Linked DNA regions of Ovis aries. The protein of the gene in region 3 binds, or shares a complex with, the protein of the main gene of each other region. Links are inferred from orthologs where the notes say so. Each region holds a gene or a part of one and is shown on either strand. Other genes may lie near its edges. The genes, in order: SMC5, NSMCE3 and EID3.

The links.
Region 1: EID3 (region 3) and SMC5 share a complex: the UniProt entries of both Homo sapiens proteins name them as parts of the SMC5-SMC6 complex. The link is inferred for Ovis aries from reciprocal best matches to the Homo sapiens genes EID3 and SMC5.
Region 2: EID3 (region 3) and NSMCE3 share a complex: the UniProt entries of both Homo sapiens proteins name them as parts of the SMC5-SMC6 complex. The link is inferred for Ovis aries from reciprocal best matches to the Homo sapiens genes EID3 and NSMCE3.

The regions. Positions count from the first base shown.
Region 1 is NC_056055.1:66,334,578-66,338,908, reverse strand, and holds part of SMC5 (structural maintenance of chromosomes protein 5), read left to right. Parts: intron 1-2,022; coding exon 2,023-2,146; intron 2,147-2,422; coding exon 2,423-2,545; intron 2,546-4,331. UniProt on the Homo sapiens protein: Core component of the SMC5-SMC6 complex, a complex involved in repair of DNA double-strand breaks by homologous recombination.
Region 2 is NC_056071.1:25,979,155-25,983,532, reverse strand, and holds NSMCE3 (non-structural maintenance of chromosomes element 3 homolog), read left to right. Parts: upstream 1-1,866; 5' UTR 1,867-1,990; coding exon 1,991-2,848; 3' UTR 2,849-3,420; downstream 3,421-4,378. UniProt on the Homo sapiens protein: Component of the SMC5-SMC6 complex, a complex involved in repair of DNA double-strand breaks by homologous recombination. The complex may promote sister chromatid homologous recombination by recruiting the SMC1-SMC3 cohesin complex to double-strand breaks.
Region 3 is NC_056056.1:173,526,627-173,530,846, reverse strand, and holds EID3 (EP300-interacting inhibitor of differentiation 3), read right to left. Parts: upstream 2,621-4,220; 5' UTR 2,577-2,620; coding exon 1,425-2,576; 3' UTR 1,126-1,424; downstream 1-1,125. UniProt on the Homo sapiens protein: Tissue-specific component of the SMC5-SMC6 complex, a complex involved in repair of DNA double-strand breaks by homologous recombination.

The DNA.
Region 1 (4,331 bases), on a different chromosome or scaffold from region 3:
TTAGAAATTAAATAGTACATTAACATGATAAGTTCATTATATGTTAACAAAAAATATTTATGAGAAACAATTTTCCAAACAAAATGCATTTAGCAACAAGAGGGACATTATTTTTACATTTGTAAATCTCTTTAGATGAAGTTAGTTGTTTTTTCATAAGTGCTTCTGCATTCACTTGGTTGTGAGAAGTATATGAAGAAAACCTGGCCCCACATATATATGTAACTGGAAAAGGGAAGACTGCTTTAATAGACGTGTCAGCATATGTATTCTTTAATGTCACATCAGAACTTGCCAAAGTGTGGTTTGTTAACGTTTAACTGCAACATGGAATCTGAAATCATTAGTGAAGGAATATACTCTTACATTACCATAAGTGCATCTTTTACCCATGAATGACCTTGTTACATTATGCTAGCTTACTGTGAAATCCCAGGCAGTTGTTCTCAGAACTGATTGTAAGTTTTATTTTGAACTTAGATGTTTTGTAGAAACTTATATATCTGATATATAAGATCAGATAAAAGCTGTTAGGGTGTTCAGTCTAGGGGAGAGGAAAGTGAGTTCCAGTTTCAAAGTTTTTCCATGCCCATTTCAGGACACAATGCAGACCTTTTTTGGTGATTATTCTATAGGAAAGAAGCATAAAAGAACAAAGATATAGGTATTAAAGACATAATAAATGACAGCTCATTGCCTTGAGTACAGTATAAATTTACCTTGATTTAATAGTGTTTCTAAACACATAAGTTGAATATTTTAAATGCTTTTTAAAAAAATTTTTTTAATAAAGCAAATTGCCTGTTAACTTTTAAAAGTCAGTAGCGTATATACCTTGGTTGCTTAAAAGAAGACATATCTGCTGAGTCTTAACTGCTTAGAATTCTTTTCTATATAAACCCTTCACTTTTATCTTCAGTCATCCACAAGTCAACCTTTTACTGTTGGACTGCTGTATTGAACTCATTGTCTGAAACTAAACTTTTTCCTGGTAATGTTGAATTTTGTAGTGAAATATCCTTTCATATCCATTGTCATCCTGGCTGTCTCATATCTACAGTTACTCTGGAATACTGCAGTGGTGACATGGTTGGTGGTCTCTCCATGACTCATCTCCTCCATTCAGGGCATACAGAATACTGTCATCAAGTTTATCATCTTTTCATGTTCCTGCCCCCTTCAAGATATCTGTGGTGGCTTCCTACCTTTGCTGTATGAAATTTAAATACTGCTTTCCTTTAGATTGTCCTTCACGTTTTTCAAAATCTTCTTGCACTCCACACATTCTAATTTCCTCCCTCTCTGCCCCGACACACTCTTCACTCACCATTCAGTCCACTCTCTACAATATCCACTGAACTTGTTTATTCTTATTTTCATTGCTTCCATCTTTGATTTTTCCCTGTAGTGGAAAGAACTTGGCCCTTGATGTCAAACACACCTTACAACTTAGTATATGTAATGTTAGGTAACTTAAGTAAACTTCTACAGCCTTAGTGTCTCCATATTGAAAAGCAAAGTATTAACTTTTAGAATTGTTGTATTGTCTTTTCATCATTATTATTTTATGTATTAGATTGCCACAGTTAAGCTCCTTAAGGGAAGGGACTGTTTTTATAAACAGTGCTTATCACTTATGGACCAGACACTATACTAAGTGTGTTGCATGATTTGCCGCCTTCTTTTAGTCTTCACCAAAGCCCTGCAGAAGTACTATTATTACTTACAGTTTATAGATGAGGAAATCAAAGCTTAGAAGAGTAGCTTGTTCAGTTATACTGCTCATTGGTGGCAAAGAGGAATTTTAAACCCAAGTTTCTGACTCTAGATCCTATGGCACTTGATACATCTCAAAAAATAGTTTTTGATCCTGAGTGATTACATGAAATGTTTAATCAGGAAGCTATCAGTTAACATCTGAATAGTATTGCTACATAGACCATAAAGCAGCAAGAAACCTGAGAATTTGGGCTCAATCCTTGTGTTTTCTCTGATTTCTACATCATTATGCTTTTCATACAGTTTAAAGCTGATGGAACAGGATACTTGCAATCTTGAAGAGGAAGAACGAAAAGCAAGTACCAAAATCAAAGAAATAAATGTTCAAAAAGCAAAACTTGTTACTGAATTAACAAACTTGATAAAGGTAAATAAGACATTTTCATTTTAGTCATGTTTTTGTTGTTGCAAGTCGATAGTAAAATCTTAGCAAGAGATTTTTATAGGTAATTTCAACTTTCTCTGTTTGACATTTCTATTTACAGATCAGTAAATTGATTAAAAGTACTCATTAAGCTAAATTGGTTTATTCAAAATGACTCAAAGGAGAACTATTTAAGATTGGAGAGAAGTATCAATCGCATTAGAAAAATGTTAAACTATATTGTTGTAAAATAAAACTCATAGAGGTTTTTATTCCTAGAATTGTACTGCTTTACACATACAAAAAGTAGATTTAATTCTTCAAAATACTACAGTGATCTCTGAGAAGAACAAATTGGAATCAGATTATATAGCAACCTCATCACAGCTACGTATCACAGAGGTAAAATTATTGCTTTTATTTTTTATTTGAGGACTTCAGTTTGAAAACTATATATACACGTGTATGTATATATCATGCCTTGCAGTGTGCAGTTTTGGGTATGCTGTTTACAGATTTCATGTACTCTGCTGATTAAGAAGTAATATTTGAAACCCTTTGTGTACATTTTTGATTATTACCACCCTCCCCCAATTAAATAACAAAGAGTACCTGATTTAGTCATTTGAAAACCAAAATCTTACCATGTTTGCTTTCTTAGCTGATACAAATTATAGTTAGTACTATTGCCAAGAAGCAACTAGTAGCTTTTATTGCAGCTTGTGTCCCCTAAACTACAGATGAGTTCTGGTCAACACTAAGAATGGCCTTAGTGATCCCGGTGATTTAATCTTCTGTTAATGATAAATATTGAAATGGGGGAGGACAGGGGGTGATGTACTAAGTTAACATAAATTCCAGAGAAGAACAAGCAACAAAATGAGGTCGTAAGAGTGACATAGTTTTTGAGTCTTTCAAATCCGTTCCCCAAAATAGAAGAGCAACTGGGATACTATGATGATGTAACAGCAAGCCCGCAGGCAATGTATACAACAGACTCAGCTTAAAGTTGTCCCTGTAGGTGTACTGCAGAATATTCTCACACTCATCACCCAGGATTAGCATGAGGCTAGGTTAAGGGCTTAGTCCTTAATAAAATTGCCCTTCAGATGCCACCTGCTCTTCTGACCAACTGGTGACTGATTCAAGGGTTCTCATGGCTCCCCCAAGTTCATTAATTTACTGGAATGGCTCACAGAACTGAAGAAAAGGCTGTTCTCAACAATTACAGTTTTATTATATAAACAATACAAATCCCTACTGGTCAAAAGGCTTATAGGGCGGGGAGGGTCCTGCACACAGTTTCTATGCTCTTTTCTGGTGAAATAATTTGTTGCTCTCCTAGCACATCAGTGTTTAGAATTTTTACCGGGTTGCATTACCTAGGCATGACTGATTGGATCATTGGCCATATGGTTGAACTCGGTCTCTAGCCCTTCTCTCTGCAGTTTAAGAGACTGGGTGGGGATAATAATAAGACTCAAAGCCCCAACCCTTTAGTCACATGATTTGTCTTTCTGGCATTGACTTCCCCCATCCTGAGTCACTCCTTAGCATAAACTCAGACCCTCTGTCACTCAGAAACTTCCTAGGATTTTAGTCTTCCTCCCAAGAACCAGGGACAAACATCAGTCAAGTTCTGTGTTTTACGACAGCCATGAACCCCAGAATACCGGTAGGTGAGATAATCAGCAGCAAGACTGGTATGGTATTAGAAAGTATGTGGTAAGAAACAGAGGGAAGGCTCAAAGAACCCAAAAACTAAGTCACCAGCAGGTTCTCATCTTTTAAGAAAAGAGGCCCCATTTGGTGTAGAAAGCTCAGCAGACCAATTTCAGAGCAGCTGAAACTGGAAGGTGACTTTTAGATTGCAGAAAGGTCAGGTGGTGCTGGGGTGATTCAGGTCCTGTGAACTAGCAACTCACGTGAAACTGCCTTGCAGAACAAAGTTGCTTACTGAGGAGAACTAGAACTACTGGGCAGGCTAAGGAGACAGCAAGCATGTGTTATGTGGTCAGAAGGCTGACACGGTAGCTAAAGGCACCACACTTAAACACAGAAGAAGGGAGACAAGTAAGTAAAACAATATATTTGCTGACTGTCCTGTAGGTACTATTAGGAAATAAAAGGATACTACCTCAGGTTAGATGCTTTGGGAGAGGGAAATGAGGGAGAATTTCAATATTGT
Region 2 (4,378 bases), on a different chromosome or scaffold from region 3:
ATTAATTTACATCTCTATTTTCCAGACGCTGTGTAGAGAGGTGTTTTAAGACTTAAAACTGGTATTTTTTTCACCCATTTTGAGTATGACATCTGCTATCTGGGTAAAGATGTTGATTTTCATAGTCACAGGGGTTGCTAGACCTGTGGGATTACTAGGAACTGAAGTGACTACCTGAGCAAGACAGAACACTAAAAAATAACCCAGCCCAGCTATTGACAATGGCTTTCCTCTTATTTCCCATTTCTGTCATCTTTTGGTAGATTTTTTTAAACTCGAGATACAATTGATCTTTCTGAAGGGACCTTTTGCAGGATTCTCAACTGTAGGAGGTTTCTTTGCATTTGAGTTTAAATTTTAATTTGCAAGTAAACTGAAGCAGATGGATTGTCCCATTGTGAAAGAAAAAAATGAGTGCCTTGATGATACATTTGTTTTTCTTAGCAGGCTTCTGCCATTAAGATTAATGCCTGGGGATATACTGTTAGATCTTGTGTGGAAGAGAACGTTATTACTCATAGTTTACCAGATTTTAGCATTCTTGCATCACAACACAGAATATCATTTTACATTTAGTATTGCTTTTCCAGTGCCATTATCAGATTGCATTTTCATAGTAAATTACAACAAAATTTTATGCTACCAACATTTAATGAAATTTTAATAAGGTTGTGTTTTGATGTTATTATTCAAATAATGTGTTGTGAATTGCTTTCCTTTGAATATATTTGCATTAAAGAGGAACTCAACTTGATTTGGTTCTTTGAACAGTTTACCCACTTTCTGGTAGCTTTAAGAAGACAAAGAGGGAAATTAAGTTTCGCCTTTGCAAGTCAGTAAATAGAAAAGGAACCCATTTGCTAGGATCTGTGGATGTAATGGCAGCAGATTACAGATGGTTTGAGTTAATGAAATGACTCACGTTGGTTACTAAAGCAGCACAATTAAAAATATAAAGTAGATATTTCACAGATTATGACGGATGATAACCTGGAGTTTTCGCTTTCTCATTGATCTCTAAGGCTAGAGACTCACATGTTAGCAATTCTTGGTCAGAGATGCCCCAAATTAAATGGTAGTCTCTTGAGACCGACTTCTCTGTTGGTAGCATTCTCTTAGCCATTTCTGCCAGATCTGTGGTTGTGAGCCCAAGGCCCATCTTTCCATGAGCACGTGCTTCCAATAGATAAAACTCCCCGGATCAAGCAAAAACCCTCCACTTATCGTGCTTTCTGGGGTGACTGTGCCATAGCTGTCCGGCTGAAAGAGTTGATTACACAGAATATCAAGGCTGAAAGGTGAAAAGACACGGAGAAAGAGCCCTGTATGCGAGACGAAGCTGTTTACCATTGTTTCTAAACAGACTCGGGCTTTAGAGAAAGTAACTGGTGGAAAATGGTGAGAAGGGGCTGGCGAAGGCAAACTAGTAGTCCTTGGGGTCTTTTAATTGTCTTTACGTCGTTTCGTGTGGAAAGAAATTGCTCTTACTTCCTTTCCACGCTCTTCGCCGTATTTTTCTCCCATATTCATCCTGGGAGTTTCCTTCACCTACATACAGCCCTGATTTCAGAGCTTTTGACTCTCAAGTTTCTACAGCCCTGGCCTGGGTACGATCCTGAGCCAAGCCGCACACTCGCTCAGGAGCTCTGCTTCCTGTTCGCCATCTGCAGGGTTTGGTAATAACGACGACACTTAATCATAATACAGCCCGAAAGGCTGCAAGGAATACCCGCTTCTTACCGCCGCCGTCCGCGGCCGCTGGCCAGACCGGAGCGACCTCTAGACGCGGCGCGGCCTCGATGACGCAACGCGCAGCCTCCGTGACGCAAGCGCGCAGCTTCTGTGACGCAAGCGCGCAGCTTCTGTGACACAACCGCTTCTCCTCCGGGCCCTCCCACAGCCCCACGGACTAACGGCTAACCGACCTTCAATCCCTGCCACCGCTGCCGGTTACGGGGAGTCCGCGCGGTCGGGGTCCCGCCGCCGCGACATGTCGCAAAAGCCGAAGAGCCGGGGCCGCCCCAGTTCCCAGGGCGAGCGGGAGCCGAGTGGCGGCGGCGAGGAGGCCCCGAGCACGTCTCGCGGGCCGGGCGGCGCCGCGTCGCAGCGGCGGGCCCAGGCCTCCCCCGCGCCGGGGCCGCGCTCGCAGAAGCAGCTGGAGCTGAAGGTGGCGGAGCTGGTGCAGTTCTTGTTGATCAAGGACCAGAGGAAGATCCCTATCCGCCGCACCGACATCCTGCGGCATGTGGTCGGCGACTACAAGGATGTGCTCCCAGAGCTGCTGCGGCGGGCGGCCGAGCGCCTGGAGTACGTGTTCGGGTACCGGCTGGTGGAGCTGGAGCCGCGCAGCAACACCTACATTCTGGTCAACACGCTGGAACCGGTGGAAGAGGACGCGGAGGTGCGCGGAGACCAGGGAACGCCCACCACTGGGCTGCTCATGATCGTGCTGGGGCTCATCTTCATGAAAGGCAATACCATCAAGGAGACCGAGGTCTGGGACTTCCTGCGGCGCCTCGGGGTACACCCCGACAAGAAGCACCTCATCTTCGGGGAACCCAAGAAGCTCATCACCGAGGACTTCGTGCGGCAGCGATACCTGGATTACCGGCGCATCCCGCACACGGACCCCGTGGACTACGAGCTCCAGTGGGGCCCGCGCACCAACCTGGAGACCAGCAAGATGAAGGTGCTCAAGTTTGTGGCTAAAGTCCACAACCAGGACCCCAAGGACTGGCCGGCGCAGTACTGCGAGGCTTTGGCGGACGAGGAGGCCAGGGCCAGACCCCAGCCCGCGGGCCCGAGTCCAGCCACTGCCTCTGCCCCAACCCCTGCTCCTGTCTCTTGAAATCTGAGACACACCCCAGGGCCCTCTCCCTCCCCGGGGGAAGGGCTGGAGGTGGGAGGAAGCATCTTGATTGTTTAAATGCGTGGTAGTTCCAGGAAGTGTTTGCAAACTTTAATTCTTGTAATGTTGTAAGTCGTTTTGATTCTAAAATTTCATTTAGAGGGTGACTTGTTTTGTTTTGATTTGCTTCAGTGTCTGTGTTTTTTGGTGTAAAGATCTTGTTAGCTTTATAAAGCGAATTGGAAAACTTCCTACCCGGATCTGGAACTGCCAAGGAAATATAAGCGAACTGGCCCTTGTCCGGCCTTTGAACTGCCCCACTCTGTAAAGGAAAAGTCTTCGTAAATTGAAAACGAAAGTGTAATTGCCTATATCCCCTATTACCTTAACGCAGCTATTTAAAAAATCTGTTTTCTATGCATGTAAGCATTTTGAGTCATTCTAAGCAATGTGTGTATTGTAGTTTTTCCAAATAACTTTTTACATTGATAATTACTATGCTGTGTGGCTGACCATTTTGTTCAATTTTTTTTGCTACTATAGTTATAATAAATACTGTATTTTTGAAGCAATTTAGCATTATGCATTTATTTTAACCCTAACTCATGAGAAATTTCATGACTGAAAACTAGCATCATAAGGAAAAAAGAAAACAATTTTTGTTACATATCATTGAGGTAAATAGTGTTTTGTTGAAGTTGCTTTACTTTTATATGTGTGACATACTGGATCATGATGTAAAATTATTTCTGTGGGTCATGGAAAAGTTGATAAAAGTCTTAGTGATTAACCATGCCTATTTGGGAATCAGACTAGTGGGTTCAGAGTCTGCCTCACTTACAAATTTAAGGAGATTAAGTTGTACACAGACCTTTCCTTACCTATAAAACGGGTTGATGCTGCCTGTTACTGTGTATGGTAGTGTGATAATTAGGTATGGAAGTTTATGTAAAGTTATGGGCACAAATTTGTTTAAATTGGGCTTTTTTTCCTTGGCTTAGGACTGTTAAAGTTTTTTCTTTTTAACTTTTTCTTTCATTCTCTTGTAAATCATGACTGTCCTTCTAGTCCGACTCTACTGTGTGGTTTATGGAAAAATAGCTCACGATGGAGCCCACATAAACAGAGCAGAAAGTAAGATCCAACTGGGCTTGGAAGGGGTGTCTGCAGTGTAGTGAACAGGATATGGGGTTTTGAGGTTGTCTGACATCTCAGGACAGTACAGAACCCACCTGCCAATGTGGGAGACCCTGAGTTGGGAAAATCCCCTGGAGAAGGAACTGGCAGTCCACCCTAGTATTCTTGCCTGGGAGGTTGTCTGACATCTCAGGACAGTACAGAACCCACCTGCTAATGTGGGAGGCCCTGAGTTGGGAAAATCCCCTGGAGAAGGGACTGGCAATCCACCCTAGTATTCTTGCCTGGGAAATCTGAATTCTAGCCTGGTGGGCTACAGTCAGTGAAGTATCAAAGAGTCTGACAGGGCTTATCAACTTAGCAGCAGCAGCCTGAGTGAACCTGAAAGTGAAG
Region 3 (4,220 bases):
AGAAATGACTACTTTAGAAAATAATTGGCCCAGTTTCATGAGAAACTTCCCTTCTCATCATCTAGATGTCATTCAGTCTCTAAATTTCCCTTCCCTGTACTACATTCAGACTTACCAGGAAAATTTTATTATTCCTGTTACACAAAGCAGATCCTTATCCACTTGCCAAATAAGGTTTAATGGCAAGACCCACTACTACCAAAGACTGTTTCTACAGAGATCAAGAAAAACAGCTTGCAAGGATGCTCACTATACCTTCAAAAACTGTTTCCTTAAAAACCAAAATTTTCAGCAGGAGCGTCCAAGTAAGGTTGTAATTTATATTCTTAAAACAACAACAGCAGCCTTTAGAGCTTTATAGGAAATGAAGGAAATTTGGATAAACTAATCATATACTGGTATTTCAATTTACACAGGGAGAGTTTCCAGGCATTCAAAGTCCTATTAAGAAATCAAAATTGAGTTGGGAACAAATATTCAAGGCCAGTACATAATGAAACATCACCAATTCTGAGGAACACTCTGTGTACTAGCAGAAATTACAAAGGGAAACTAGGGGCCAGAGAAGAAACAAAACAAGCAGATAAAAATTGTAACTGGATGTTAAAAGATTTTGTGTTTGAAATAATCTAACAAAGAGAGGGCACTAACAGATATGGTAAATCAATTTTTGCCTAGTATAACATTTAGATAGAATAGTTTTCCAAAAAAAACATAGATTTCTCTGGAGCCATAACTTCTCACAATTTCACATATTTGACCCTCCATATTTCCCCTCCCGATCTCTGATCAATTCCTACTCACCTTTCGGTACTTAGTTGATGACTCACCTATTACAGTAGACAGTCTACTTTTGTTAAGCCCACATCACAGTAGAAATTATTTAGAACAAGGACACCCACTCATTAATCTTATGAGTCGTCTTTGAAATGAAGCATAGCATCTGAATTTTTTACGGTATTAACATGACTTACGCACTGCCCTACCGTCTTTCTTGACCTTTTTTTTTTTACCCATTCTTTCCCCCAACCTGGTCAAGAGCCCCATATCAAGAGCCCCATATGGGATTCCCTTGGTTCCCTGTAGCAGAGAAAGCAATGTAGTATCACAGAGCATCATAATTCATTTTTTAAAAGTTATTAAACACCTTTTATTTTATGGAATTCAGTTCTTACTAATAAAGTCTTAAGGAGCAGTCAAAAAATCTTTTGCATGAATACGCCAGTGAATTTTTTAAGTAACAGAAGGCCATGACAACTTTATAAAACTACCAAGAAAAATACAACGCACAGTAAAACAACTTATTTTCTTGAAAATATTTTTCACAAGAAATACAGTATGTGCTTCTGTTTGGATTTTACTCTCCACTATGTTATGCTTTACAAAGTAAACAAAACTGCATCCTATACTAAGAACAAAAATCTTTAGTTTGTGATCATAGCCTCTGAAATTTCGAAAGTTGCCACAATATTTTTCCAGTCTTGTAAACTCAAAGATATAACTCCCTGTTTCCTGCAGTGGAAACTGGGATCATTTCCCTCACCGGCTAGATTAATATTAATTGGCTCCAATATTGGTAGCCTGTCTTGGTCAAGCCTTATTCTTGCAAAACCATCCCTTATAATGAAAGAAACGTAAAATATATTCTCCACAGTACGAGAGAAAGAGTTTGGATCAATCACAAACTCAAAATAAGACACAGGAGTATCAGGATACTTTCGAAAGTACGTTTGCAACAATCCCAAGATTCTTTCTACTTCTTTTTCTGTGGCTTCTTGATTGCCACTCAGATCCAGCTTCCTCAGCTTTGTAGGCATATCCCCATTCTCTTCCATTTTCTGAACTTTTCTCCGGTGATTAAGCCGCGGCTTTCGCGCCGCAGACTCTGGTTTGAACGAACCAAAAAGAAAGTGGAATGTTTCAGCTTGTAACATCCACGATGTCGCTTCCTTCTGTACTGTCTCCCAGAAGGAAAGAGCTATGTTATCGTCACAGTTATTCAACGGATCACGTCCGTCATCTTCCATCCAATTTAGACCCACAAATATAAACAGAAAGTCACAAAATGCCACCTGATTAAAAAAGCTCATGTCAGAGTTCAGCTGCTTTGCTTTTTCTTTACCCAAATCAGAAGCCAAAACAAGAAACTGAGCGTCGAGAGCCGCTTCTCTTGTTCGACTCACTGCATCAAACAGGACATTGGCTTCCTCGAGAGCCTCGGTTAAGGTGTCGCTCGTCGTGTTCACGATGTCGTCACGGTTCTGCTGGACGGTATAGATGAGCTGCCGGTACTGCTTGCGGATACTCCGGCATTTCTCTTCATCCACCCGCTCCAGCAGGCTGGGGTCGATGTCGGCCTTCCCCCAGCTCAGGTCGTCAGAGGAGGTATCAGATTCGTCGTCAGAGGAAGTATCAGATTCGTCGTCAGACGCCGCTGCCACTTCCACCTTCAAAGATTCCTCCTCCTCCTCCTCCTCCTCCACCTGCTTCAGAAAGTACGCACTACTGGGCATGGTCACCACCGGCTGCGCTCTTGTCTCGTCGGCTCCCCTCAGGGAATCATTTTCATCGGCCATGGCGGCGGCGGGTGGCACTCAGGTAACGGTCTTCGCGACGTTTCGGCCAACAGCGGAAACTGCCGGGGTCACCCAGGGCCGAAGACGCTACCCATGCGCACTAGCGGCGGCCTAGCGGCCCCGCCCCTCTCAGTTAGCGAATGAGCGTCCCCCCGCCCGCGTAGAACGCCGGCAAGAACCGGCTCGTGGCGTCACACTGAAGTAATACCGGTTGGTTCAAGCGACGGCCGTTATTTTGGCGTTTACTGACAGTGTCATCTAGCTTTTAAAGAAACGCTTGCAAAATCTAACGACGAAACTATGAGGAGACTAAACGTACCGTACTTTAAAACATTGGCTGTCACATATTGCAGCATACTGTCATTAAAAGATGGGGCGGGGTGTGGGGGTGGTGTTTTTTGTTTTAAAAAATAAAATCTGGCTAAATTACAAACTGCTAACAAAGCCAAGGATCGCGGCCTGCACTGTCTCCATTGCAGAAAGACTGAACTCCCAAGGTTCACTTGCAAAGTGGTTGCTAGGAACTCGGTCTTCACTATACAAATGTAAATTGTGTTTTGAAGGCCTTCAAAAGCCAAATCCTCGCCAATCTACTCCAATGGGGGAGGGGGAGCGGGTGACTGGGTGGGTGAGCAAGGGTCCGGGCTGGCGCATGCGCAAAGGTGCGCTGCCGTACCCCACCCCTACCCCGTCCCCCAGTGTTAGGCAACTGATCTCTGATTCTCCAGCATCCAGGAGTACAAGAATAAAGTAGACAGGGTCTCCGCCAAAGGACTATTTGGAAGGTTGCAAAAATACAGGTCACACTCCCCGAGTGAATAGTAAATCTGAACCCTAAAAGGTGAGAAACCTGTGAAGACTTTAAACACAATCTGTTACTAGGATATGAACATGAACGCTGTTAAGTCACGTGACAAACTTATGTAGGAAAATACTGCCACTAGTTCCCGGGGGAATCACGTGAAGTTAGAGAAGGACTCAGCTCATTAGTCACAAGAGGGGAGGGAGAGGGGAGAGGGGGAGAGAACACCTCAGTGCATCTCAAGTTTTGGTTTCCCGCATCCGCAAGTGTCTGCCCTACCTTCCCTCCAATGCATCTTTACTGGTTCATTTTTCTTTGACCGTAGCACACAGTTTGGGAGTAGGAAATGGCAACCCACTCCAGTATTCTTGCCTGGAAAATCCCATAGAGGAGCCTGGTGGGCTACAGTCCATGGGGTCGCAAAGAGCCAGACACGGCTGAAACGACTGAGAGCACAGTTTCTTGTAAATGCATGAGCAGCAAAGGCTAGTATTCAGTTCAGTTCAGTCGAGTCGGACTCTTTGCGACCACATGAACCGCAGCTGCCAGGCCTCCCTGTCCATCACCAACTCTGAGAGTTTACTCAAATTCATGTTCATTGAGTTGGTGATGCCAACCAACCATCTCATCCTCTGTTGTCCCCTTCTCCCACCTTCAATCTTTCCCAGCATCAGGGTCTTTGCAAATGAGTCAGTTCTTAGCATCAGGTGGCCAAAGTATCGGAGTTTCAGCTTCAGCATCAGTCCTTCCAATGAACACTCAGGATTCATCTCCTTTAGGATGGACTGGCTGGATCCCCTAGCAGTCCAAGGGACTCTCAAGAGTCTTCTCCAACACCACAG